Saccharomyces cerevisiae S288C: one gene and its partners. The gene in region 4 interacts genetically with the main gene of each other region. Each region holds a gene or a part of one and is shown on either strand. Other genes may lie near its edges.

Region 1 (2,711 bases), on a different chromosome or scaffold from region 4:
AAGATCCAATTGTGGCCGAGTGTGCTGTTGTCGGATTCAACGATGACTTGACTGGTCAAGCAGTTGCTGCATTTGTGGTGTTGAAAAACAAATCTAGTTGGTCCACCGCAACAGATGATGAATTACAAGATATCAAGAAGCATTTGGTCTTTACTGTTAGAAAAGACATCGGGCCATTTGCCGCACCAAAATTGATCATTTTAGTGGATGACTTGCCCAAGACAAGATCCGGCAAAATTATGAGACGTATTTTAAGAAAAATCCTAGCAGGAGAAAGTGACCAACTAGGCGACGTTTCTACATTGTCAAACCCTGGCATTGTTAGACATCTAATTGATTCGGTCAAGTTGTAATGATGATTTCTTTCCTTTTTATATTGACGACTTTTTTTTTTTCGTGTGTTTTTGTTCTCTTATAACCGAGCTGCTTACTTATTATTATTTCACCTTCTCTTTTTATTTATACTTATAATTATTTATTCTTTACATACTGTTACAAGAAACTCTTTTCTACATTAATTGCATAAAGTGTCAATCAGCACATCCTCTACATCGCTATCAACAACAAATTTGACAAACCTGCCTATATCTTCAGGAACGACTGCTGCATCGCTACCACCACTACTTGTGAAGTCCCTGGAGTTCAATATGCACTGAAATTTACCTAGCCGTCTTACACATGACCATAATCCATCCATGCTATCGCAATATATGATTTTGTGTTCGTTTTTCGTCTTGCGAAAGGCATCCCCAATGGCTTGTTTCATTGATCCATCAGTGTGGCTCGTAGGTACCAGCAAAACCACTTCATCAGCGGCGTACTCCTCCCACTTTATGGGCAGTCCTTGTATCGACTTGCTCATTATAATACATTTGCTCTTCCTTGCCTTTTTGTTCTCTTTTACTGAATCACCCTCTGGAGGTCGTGCCCCATTATCTTCCTTTGCACTTGTCACCTTTTGATATATATAGTAGGACGTGACCAACACTGCTATAGCTGTACCCACTATTCCTAATGTTCTTGTTTTGTTTATTCTACTTCTTGATGGTGGTGGCATGTTTTATATCTTCTTCTTCTTTATTCTTCATTATTGTTTCATTGTCTATTTCATCAGCACAATCTTCCCTTATATTTTATTTTTTTTTTTTCGATTAATTGAATTAGGGGACTATGAACCTAATTGTTAATTTTTTGCCAAAATATTTCGCTGGTATTGCGAAGGAGATTATTCTTTGAAAGACAAAGTGTTATGTGACTATAAAACAAAACTGAATATATTATATTCTACTACTAAACAAAGTTTACAAAGTGAAAGCATTGAAAACTGCCTTTTTATGCACTAGGATTTACGCTAGGAAAAATACTTTTCGTTATGGTACCATGTAAATATATTTCTTTTACATTGCTCCGTCTAGATATCAATCCGCCAATCAAAATAATACTTTTGTCACATTGCAAAGAAGTGCCACCGACACCAACTACTATATTTGAATTTGTATCTTCATTTTCGCTATCTTGTCTGTCCTCATCGTCTTCCTTCTTGGACAGAGTAATTTTATGTTCTTCCCAACACTGCGTGCTTAAATCAATTGTGTTCAAAAAATTACCACCCAACGGTAATGTATCGACCTTGCGTTTTCGAGGAGGCTCATCATCATTCTCCGAGTAAAATTGGTCAACATCCTCTTGTACCATACCACCTATACATACACATATTCGTCCAATACTTTCCATTCTGTGGCCAACGAGACCTACGTTCACACTATCCAATTTTTCATCACCGTCTTCGCTCGAATCTGCCTTTGCAAATGTCTCTATTGGAGTCCATGTCTCACACTCTAAGTCCATCAACCACATATCATCAAGAACGTTGAGACCGTTAGACCCACCATGCAATACAACAGTTTTACCTACTGGCTTCTCTTGGCTTAAAATTAATCTCTGTCTCCCTATCGCAGTCATTGGAATAGATGACGATTTTCTCCCTGGATTGACTATATAATTTTCCAAATTATCGTCCATATCGGGATCAAAGCTCGCAGCACTTGCGCTGCTGGCCGAGGCACCAGCTTTGGGCGATTCTTGTGCCGCAGAGCCACTATTGAAAAGATCTTGATGCGTGCCATGAACCATCATGGGGAAAACCGGTTTAGGACTAACAACGCGATCCTGTGATATATATGACGGTTTTAAAACAAAATGGTTTTTTAAGTTGTTCAATAGTCTCATGTCAAGAGAACTCCTATCCATTAACGAAGTCCCATGAACAGAAAAGGCAGAAAAGGCTCTTTCTTCGGGCCAATCCGATTTGTCCTTTTCGCTTGGCGTCAGTAGTATCGCGTTAGCTGTCTCTGAAAACTTACAATAACCTTTTTTACCGCGACGTATCACGGGTATCTCTATCTTCCACAAATCATTCATTGCTTCGTAACGATCATCACCGGTTTGTCTGTAACCACCAAATATTATAACCGTGTGCACAGTATTATGAGGTAATGATGAAAGTACTGCTGCTTTTTCAAGCCGCCCGGAAGTGATGCTGCTACCTTGTTTCATGGAAGCACTCCCCATTTTATGAATTTCGTTCATGCTTGAAGAATGAACGCTAGCTCTCCTATTTGGATTATCAATAGAAATTTGTAAGTGACCAAACCTCGATGACATTGTCGGATATGCATTATATTTGGAAGGTTGTACTATGATATCTATTT
Region 2 (3,365 bases), on a different chromosome or scaffold from region 4:
CGCAGTGATTACCGGAAACCCTTCATAATGTTTTCCTTTTTCCCAACAAGATTGAACTTTGATATCGTTTTGTAACTAAAATCTTTTTTGACAAATGAAATTATATGAATTATAACTTATCAACTTTATGAGAAGCAAGTAGACTTGGTACTGTAAAAAATATAGTCCCACGACAGCGGTATCTATCTTTCTTACCCTCTTTTACTTTTCACAAAATCATGTTGATTTTTCAGTTAACCCAGTTTAAGATCATGAATGGAACGGGAAACAAATACGTAACAACTGGGAAAAACAAACCTGCCGATGTTTGAATGCACTTTATTTATGGGAAAGAGAAAGCTTTGTCTGACAACTCCGAAAGAAAATACAAAGAAGAATTGAGACCTTCAGTACTAATGTCCCCCTCGCTCTTTTTTTTTTCTCTTTCGCAAGAATATCTGCGTATGCCTTTTTAGAAACTATTTATTCAATATATTTATACACGATATTTTGTGTGTATAACAGATCACCATCTTTTCCCGATCACTTTCTCCAATCTATATCGCTTGGCCTGTAAAGCATTATCTGCCTGCTGTACATTGTTCTCGATGTCAAACATTCTAGTGTTTTGTGCTTCAAACTCTCTGCCAAAAGCGTGAGCCATAATTTTCAAGTCACCACTCACCGCTTTTATTTGTTCTAGGTTTCCGTACAAGTCGATTTCCATTTGGTTATCTTCTTCATCGGCTTCAAACTGATACTTCTGGGCATCTCTAAGAATACGCTGTCTTTCCACCCCTTGGCCATACCGTCCATATTCAGAACTTAGATTTATGGCTAAATTTTTGTCAGAATCTTGGGCTCTTTTCATAGTTTCTTGCTGTAAGTGACGATGCTTTAACTTCAAATTGTAGATCTGGTCTCGCTTTTCTCTCTCCCTTTTCTTCCTGAAGGGGTTGGGTGATTTTAATGCAAGCAGGCTTCTATTTTCATGGGCAAGTTCGTCAATCTTTCGGTCGGCTACGTTAGATTGAATTTTAAGCATGTCACAATTGCTCTCGATCTTGGTGAGTTGGTTGCTCTGACAACTTAGTTGTTGAAGAACTCTCTTTCCAGTACATCGAGCCTCTATAGCTTTTTCAAGTGTTCTGCTTGTCGTTTTTACAGATTTTAATTTAGTGCTTCTAATCTCGGACCTGAGTCTATCAACTATTTCATCCTCCTCAGGCTGGACATTCTCTAAGTTATATTGACTTTCAACTTTTCTCCACTGTGGATAGTCATTCTCATTTGCAAAATTTCCCAAATCTCTGTGAATAACGCTATCTGTTTCTCCCAAGTTTTCTTCAGGTATTTGGCACCTGTTGGACTTTGGAAAAACCTCTTCTAACGAAATAGTAGCAAGGCCATCCCTTTCGGGCACCTCATAAGAGACGCATTTATCATCACTAGTCTTAGTGGCGTCATCGAACCGACAGTTTGGGTGAAGTTGTTTGTGGATTTTATTCCTCAAGGATTTAAGCTTCACATGTAGCCTATCACGTCTTCTGCTTCCTGAACAATTGTCCATCCTGAAGGGTGATAAATATTTTGTTTCATGGGATCCTGTAATATTGGAAATAAGTACATAGCGATGATTTTGCAACTTCAGGTTCTTATGGTGCTGATTATGGTGGCGACTGTGATGCGATTTGCTAGCAAGTATTTTTCTGAACCCCATTATATATCTAAAAATGGCTATTCACAAACGGAAAAATCTAAAGTAATAAAAAAATAATAGTGTTAACAGAGAAGGTTTATCAGTAGCTAAAGCGAGCAAATTACTGGTTAACTTATCGTATTTTCCGTACTGTGGTGAATCTTATGCAAAATGAACCTGGCTTTGGCGGGAGTTTTTTTTTATGTGACACAATGGCCTTTTGCCGGTGGTAAATACGCGCTTCAAAAAGGTTGTTACACAGCGGCACATTAGCATGACACAATCTTGATCCTTTACAATTACTACACCGCCAAGTATAAAGCTTTTCCCAACCAACGTGTTTGCCAAGTAATTTTGTGTAGAGTGCGGCTGACTAACAGCCTTAACCGGGTACTCTGTTCCCTGCATTTGCATAAAAACTACAAAGAAAAGAAAGAAGGAAATACTCCGAACCAAAGAGATACAACAAGAATACTTCTCTCATTACATCGGCACCTTCCTGGGGATTAATTCCTTACAAGCGCTGAAAAAATGAAGAGATGATTCCGTACTTCAACAATGGCTTTTAACCTTATTACCCCAAGAGAGTGTCTACAGAATTAAGGCCCATTTAATTTTTACCTTCCTGTTCCTGCATAACAGACACCCCTTACCCGCATCAACAGGAGGGGAGGAAACATTGCCAATATGTCTGCGAATTGTGACAACCAATCCGCATGCACGGTGGGGGGCGGTTGAAAGCGCCTAGACTTCCCTTTTTTGGATTGCTACGTCACCTTCGCAGCGTGCACCAGGTGCATTCACCACACGAAAAGATGCGAAAGCACACCAAGCGCGAAATTCCGGTTTTTGGCTTGTTTGTTTCGGGCTCCGCCTCATCGTCTTAGCAAATCTAGACCTTGTTGAAAAATCGTGCAGGGACTCCGTACCTGCACAAGCAACGCGGCATAATACATGTAGGGATACAGCAAAGATATTGTTTCTGAATGGGCAAAACATTGCTTTCCGCAAACGGCTTTTTCTTCTCTTTCCCACCACCGTGGGTCACCTTTTTCTTGCGCCTCTTATGCCAACACACTCTTCCCGTGATGCGAATGGTAAAGAAGTTAACAAAAAACACAAAAAATTCATATTCCGATTTCTCTGCAAAGAAGCCTGAGCGGGAACTGCATGTCCGCTTGACTTGTCTTCCCTCCGGTTAGCTGTGCCTGCAGGGAAACCGCAGTAGAAGGACTGCGGAAGGATCTTTTCCCGCCGTTGATGTAATCTTTAAAGTTAATTTTTCCCTCACACAGTTTGCATTTTTCCCGCATGTTGTCCGGTTTTTCTTTCTTTTGTTGCTTTTTCTTCCGTGGGCCTGACGGAACATTCCAAGTTGAGTGCGATCTGACTAAGGAACTAGTAGAGGCTACCGCTCAGTAAGTTTAACAGTCGGCTAAGCATCGATCATCTCATTCTTTGCCTTCACTCAGTTCTTCGCAATAGTACAGTGCTGCGCAATAGACGCACGTATCAGTGATGTATTCTTTCTCTTGTCTTCACATAAAAAGTACGTAGATGTGTTGCCCGTTTGTGTTTTATTAACTTATCGAATGTGGCAAGCCGACGATACAAAAGAAAAAAGTTCATCTTTAACACTTCTTTTTGTTAGTTTTTGAAGTTTTTCCCCACTATCTTTTGCATTAGT
Region 3 (3,339 bases), on a different chromosome or scaffold from region 4:
TTACCTGGAGTTGGACCTAAAATGGGATATTTAACACTGCAAAAAGGTTGGGGGCTGATTGCCGGCATATGCGTCGATGTTCATGTCCATAGGCTGTGTAAAATGTGGAATTGGGTAGACCCTATTAAGTGTAAGACTGCCGAGCATACTAGAAAGGAGTTACAGGTTTGGCTACCTCACTCACTGTGGTACGAAATAAACACCGTTTTGGTTGGATTTGGTCAATTGATCTGCATGGCCAGGGGTAAGAGGTGTGATTTATGTCTAGCAAACGATGTCTGCAATGCTCGCAATGAGAAGCTAATCGAATCTTCCAAATTTCATCAATTGGAGGACAAAGAAGACATCGAGAAAGTATATTCGCATTGGTTGGACACGGTTACAAATGGAATTACAACAGAAAGACACAAGAAAAAATAGAACCACCATTCATTGTGGAAAAAGATGAAAAACCATTATGTATGTCATTAAAATAAGTAGGTAGGGTTTTATAAACTATTCAAATATTTCTCATATACTCGCTAGAAGTTTTAGCAACCCTACAATCTGGGGGTATACAGTGTGAAAGGCCGCTGGAACATGTTTGAAAATTGCCATCAATGACTTATATTTTTTCAAACATAAGAGTAGCAGCAGACCTGTGAGCAGAAGTCCGTTTTTGTTCAGCACACTTCTTGTGAAATGATGCTTCAGGACAGCCCAAAATGAACCAGCCAGAACAGTAATATCATTGTTTTTTTTACGGGGCGCCGTTCCAGTACTCTGGAGTCTACTATCAGTAGAGGTGCGTTGATTAAACGCATCCTCAACCTTAACCTGTTCTTCACTACTATTGTGTAACATAGGCTCGTGAAAATGGTGTATTTTCTGTTTCACTCCTCTTTGTTTACCTTTAGACTTCGCCTTATCTTTTTGTATTTTATTATCTATTGAGTTCAGAATAGCATCCTCTATGGAAACATCTTTAGATAAGTAAAGGCCCTTTAGGGTTGGAGATAACTTAGGTAATGTTTTGCAAAGCGCCCAATACATATTCGGTGAGGGTTTTTTATGATGCAGTTTTACCTTCACCTGAAAGATGAATATCTCGATTAATTCTTGTAAGCCAACTACATCTATAGTTGTCCTCATTTTCGTTATGTATACGAAAATGAAATCACTCATTATGGATTCAAGCTCCAGAGTTTTTTCTTCTTGTTCGGTGTGATCAGTTAAGTTAAACTGAATAACCTTGATACAGCATCGAAAGAATTTATTGATGACCAAAAGTTTACTGAGGTCACCGAGAATAATTTTTCTTGTCTCAATACATTGAGGGGTATCTAACGTGAAAATATTCAAAATCTCACTCTGCAGTGTTAAACCTAATTTGGTAAAGCTGGGCATAATATCACAGGCGCTGACAAATAAATCTAATATCATAGGGTTGGACTTGAAAACGGTAATATCAATAAATCCAACCTCAGACATTTTTTCTAGGCAATCCTTGATATCTCTTTTTATGAAAAGGTTCACACATTCTTGAAATACTTCACTCCTCTGATCATTTACCGACTTGGTCGATTCATCACTTTCAATGAATAAGTCATCGTTAAGTAAATCCCTTAGAGAAGAATCGAGGGAATGCATAGGCAGATTGTTCATTATCTCACTTGCAGCCATTATTCACAGAACCCTCTTGTATAAACCACACCGTAGTACGTTCTGCTAGTGCCTCTTTCTGTTTACCTAACTATTTCTCTTGCCTAAATATGTAAGTCTACGATGACTTTTCTATGGTACTTGATGTCACTCCGACGGCGATAAGCCGCTCAGCGCAGAAGTTTGCCCCAAAATAGAATGAAAGAAAATACTGCATAGAGGCTGGACAAGAAGGATATAGAGCAATGATATGATATTAAAAATGTAATTAATATATAGCCAAAAAAAGAATAGAACATTTATGAAGGTAAATGGTTATGAAAATGGATTAAATTATTCTTTCCCTTTATCTTGGAGAGTACGGAAAACTAGATTTTAAGCCATTTATCTTCATATATTTCATCAATAGTAGGTCTTTTATCAACTTCTCTTGTCAAAATTCTTTTTATCAAACTGATGCATTCTTCACTGACATGTTCCGATTTATCGAACCTTAATTCACCTTCCAAGATTTCATCAATGTTGTAATAAGGATTCTCTTTATAAATTATGGTATAAAGTAGCACACCAAGAGCCCAAATATCTTGTGGTTTACCTTTGTAAGAGGAACCACCAAGGACTTCAGGTGCAGCATAGTCCATTGTTCCCACAAAAACATCGAATGGTCCACTCTTGATATAGGCAGCCGAACCGAAATCGATTAATTTTACAAAGCCATGAGAATCAACAATAACATTTTCGTCCTTTATGTCTCTATGAACAATTCCTTGGTCATGTAAATGCTTTATACTAGCGACTACCTGTTTAAACACCAGTTTAGCTTCATGTTCAACCATATCTTTTTTGAATTCGATAACATCAAATAGATCAATACTACCAGTTTCTCCATGGACCGGTGTTTCAATGTAATAATAATCGTCATCTTCAAAAAAATCTAATAACTTCAAGATATTTTCTTGGGAATTTTTATTCAAGGTCGCCATAATTTGGATCTCAGAAGGTATAGTACCTAATTTTCTATCTCTCACCCATGTGTCTACTAAAATCCTCTCTTTGAAAATCATTTTGATGACCACGATATAGTGTTCTCTGTTATGAATGCATAAATTGACTTTACCGTACGCACCCTCACCCATCACTTGCAGAATAGTAAAATCAGAAAATTTCTTTATGCGCTTTTGTGAGCCTATATTAGCCTCTGGAGTAGTCAAGTACGTAGCTTTTAAAGTAGAATTTCTTTTGTCTAGCTCATTTGTTTCCTTTTTGATTTCTTCTCCGTTTATCGGTTCAATTATCCTCATTATAAATTTTTCATCCACTTTAAAGTTGTCGTCCTTTACAAATTTTGATTTGTCCTGCGTGTACATTTTCGTTAATTCAATTTTATGTTTTAACTCAGGATCATCAACCATTGTCATGTCATCGTCATAGTTATTGTTGTCATTAGATTCGATACCTCTCACTTTACCGCAAGAAGTTTCTCGTAGTTTTTCATTCACTTGATTTAAGTCTACTTCATCGTCTGAATTAGAAATCGTTTCAGCGGAGCTAATCGACAGATCAGCCATTGCCTTCAAAGTATTCACAGGAATTTTTTCCGAAGATTTCTTGGAAGATGCACTGGAACTACCTCTACTGCCAACGACATCAATTTCGTTCTCCTTTAACATCGGTAGCTGCGAAGGAACGGTGGTATAA
Region 4 (2,824 bases):
ACCATGTATATTTTAAAACATAGTCTTCCAACATATTGTAACCAAACTTGACTTTATCAACCAGCAGCATTTTTTCCATCAGCACATCATACAACTCTTTAACTTTCGTCCTTTCCACTGCTGTTCCTTGGTAAAATGCGATCTCTTCGCTATTATTTATCATGTTTAGATGATAATTGTAGTAATCGCCGTCTGAAGCAGATCTCTCGCCTGCCAATTTACCTAATGGTGGCGTGTATTTCCTCAAAATAAACCCAGTAATGAAATAATTAACAAATATACCTGCTACTCCCACAGTTCCCAAATTATCACGTAAATAAACCGAAAAGAATATTAAATCAATAACTGGCTTTGCAATGTTTGCAAAAACGGAGCATGTCGCATCGCAAAATTTTGCAACATCATTAGTAATGGAGTTGTCGATATTCTTGATTACCGAATTGGACGCCTTTGCATCAAAAATTAATTTGTAAAATGTTAGTCTTTTATCCAAATACATGTCATGGATGTAACGTGTCAAATTTACCCTAAAGTTTAAACTCAACTTCCTTTGAAGTAGCTTAATAGCACTATTAGTATAAGAAGCAGGGACAGCAATTAAAAACCAACACCCTAAGTCCCACAGAAAGCTTCTTCCTCTACCAGCAATTATATTTTTGACTATTTGTCCATCCAGCTTGGCTACAAACAAAGAGAGCCAAGTTCTCATCACCAGGAAAAAAATTTGAGCAGTTAAAAGAAGAAAGTTTTTGTCAAAAACTGTTGGAATTAAAATTTTAGACAAGACGTTCATTTGGTTTAAAAATTTTGAGTAGAATAACTGCGAATTCTTGGCTCTTTCCAGTTCTACATTTTTAAAAAGAAACTTATCGTGTTCATATACATCGTTATCCTTTGGTGGAATAAATATCCTTTTCCTTTTTTTTTTATCTGTAGCATTCATAAATTTGTTGTCATCGGGACTCTGGCGGTCGACTAATTCCACTTCAGGAATATACATTATTCTTGCACCACTGTCTAATTGCATTTGAGATCTTGTTCTTCTTATTAAAGGTCTCCTATTCCTTCTCTTCCATGGAAACTTGTAAAATTTATAACATTTTAGAATAATTTTGAAAGTACTATATGTTACACCAGAAAAAAGTGTGACACCAGATAGGAAAAGCGATACCAATAAAATCTGGGCCCTTCTTCTTAGCTTAGGATGAGCAGCGTTTGATCTAGATATCTGTAGAAGATGCCGTATCAATAACTTGAAATATACTTTAGGTGTGACATCGTTAACGTGTAGCCCAATACAGTGAGTATGTAGATTCAGGAGCAAACTCTTTAGTTTCGCTGGTGCTGCTAATGTTGTTGACATTTCTGTGTTATGCGTTCTAAGACTTCCAGATTGTCTGAAACGGGTTTCATTGTTAGTCTCACTTCTTAGAGAAGCATTCTTATATATCTTGACTCTAAAAGGGCTGAAAATAACCGCCGAAATTAAAAATTGGGGTAAAAAAGGGTAACGAAACTTATGCGGTTAAGCCCGATCAACATATAGCTGAATATTGCGTCAAGAATAATTTCTTAATCGGGATTATTTCCGAAGGAAGAAATTCTATTGAAAAAAAAATCTTAACATCAAAACTGCTTATATACATTCCACAGGTTCAAGCGGTCATAAGAGATCTGACTTTTGATAGAAAAGCTAGTTCTTTAAGAAGGCTGAATAGAAGCTAAGCACTATTTTCTTATCAGGAGTATTGCTTTCTAATGAACGTTTATTTCATAAGTGCTAGCTTTGAATGCCTCCAGTGATGAGTTTTGCATCGAGGAATATTGGACGTAAGATAGCAGGAGTGGGAGTTGACATTGTATACTTGCCAAGATTTGCACATATACTAGAGAAATATTCCCCATTCGACCCATGTGGCCGTTCTACCTTGAATAAAATAACACGGAAGTTCATGCATGAAAAGGAAAGATTTCATTTCAGTAATCTTCTCATCGAAGAAAACTGCTTAACTCCACGATTGCATGAATATATAGCGGGAGTTTGGGCTTTGAAGGAATGCTCATTGAAAGCGTTGTGTTGCTGTGTTTCAAAGCATGATCTACCTCCTGCCCAAGTACTGTACGCTGGAATGCTATATAAAACACAAACCGATACAGGTGTACCTCAGTTAGAGTTTGATAAGATGTTTGGAAAAAAGTATCCAAAGTATCAACAGCTCTCGAAAAACTACGATTCTCTCTTTTCCACTCATGAGTTTTTAGTTTCGCTATCCCATGATAAAGATTATTTAATTGCAGTAACAAACTTGGTAGAAAGAGAGTAAAAGTTTTCTTGCAGCCGTATAAATGTGGCCCTATTTTCAACGTCCAAGTTATTTTCTGCGATATTTGAATGACACTTTTAAATGCGTATATAACAGCTCTTAGAGCTCAGAGGAAGCTTTATCGCCGCCTTTTATAGGAACAAGAGTTATGTACAAAAAGCCATCAAAACTTCGCAATTTAGAATACAAATCATACAGGAGCATATGCCAAGGAATTTCAATTCCTTGACAAATAACCATGACATCATTACCATTGATTCCTTCCTTTACGTCCAGAATATCGCCTTCAATATCCTTCAACGTAGGATTGACTCCAGTCATACTGATAGTTGGTTGTGATATTCGAAAAGTTCCTGATGTCCTTGAGGTTTGAATGATGAGCGGTATATGTCGCGGTCTTGATGAACTTATCTTGTTAGATATTTCAATGAAATCTTGGAAATTTCTCGTAATAACACTGCCCCAAAATTTTCGAGCTTCGTTGACCGATAAAGACATAA

The links.
Region 1: mutations in PPT2 (region 4) and PEX22 together harm fitness more than expected from each alone (negative genetic interaction), as found in Saccharomyces cerevisiae (2 studies listed by BioGRID).
Region 2: mutations in PPT2 (region 4) and SPO20 together harm fitness more than expected from each alone (negative genetic interaction), as found in Saccharomyces cerevisiae (2 studies listed by BioGRID).
Region 3: mutations in PPT2 (region 4) and PEX15 together harm fitness more than expected from each alone (negative genetic interaction), as found in Saccharomyces cerevisiae (2 studies listed by BioGRID).

What each region holds. Positions count from the first base shown.
Region 1 is NC_001133.9:40,523-43,233, reverse strand, and holds PEX22 (ubiquitin-protein transferase activating protein PEX22), read right to left. Parts: upstream 1,058-2,711; coding exon 515-1,057; downstream 1-514. Other genes in the region: ACS1 (acetate--CoA ligase 1), read left to right, coding at 1-353; GPB2 (Gpb2p), read right to left, coding at 1,333-2,711. UniProt on the Saccharomyces cerevisiae protein: Involved in peroxisome biogenesis.
Region 2 is NC_001145.3:305,823-309,187, reverse strand, and holds SPO20 (Spo20p), read right to left. Parts: upstream 1,700-3,365; coding exon 506-1,699; downstream 1-505. UniProt on the Saccharomyces cerevisiae protein: Required to maintain the prospore membrane to the nucleus during sporulation in order to capture the daughter nuclei and form the spores.
Region 3 is NC_001147.6:245,473-248,811, reverse strand, and holds PEX15 (Pex15p), read right to left. Parts: upstream 1,663-3,339; coding exon 511-1,662; downstream 1-510. Other genes in the region: bifunctional N-glycosylase/AP lyase NTG2, read left to right, coding at 1-420; serine/threonine protein kinase PSK2, read right to left, coding at 2,010-3,339. UniProt on the Saccharomyces cerevisiae protein: Peroxisomal docking factor that anchors PEX1 and PEX6 to peroxisome membranes. PEX26 is therefore required for the formation of the PEX1-PEX6 AAA ATPase complex, a complex that mediates the extraction of the PEX5 receptor from peroxisomal membrane.
Region 4 is NC_001148.4:271,794-274,617, reverse strand, and holds PPT2 (holo-[acyl-carrier-protein] synthase), read left to right. Parts: upstream 1-1,802; coding exon 1,803-2,324; downstream 2,325-2,824. Other genes in the region: ATP-binding cassette long-chain fatty acid transporter PXA1, read right to left, coding at 1-1,363; ATG5 (Atg5p), read right to left, coding at 2,424-2,824. UniProt on the Saccharomyces cerevisiae protein: Transfers the 4'-phosphopantetheine moiety from coenzyme A to a Ser of mitochondrial acyl-carrier-protein.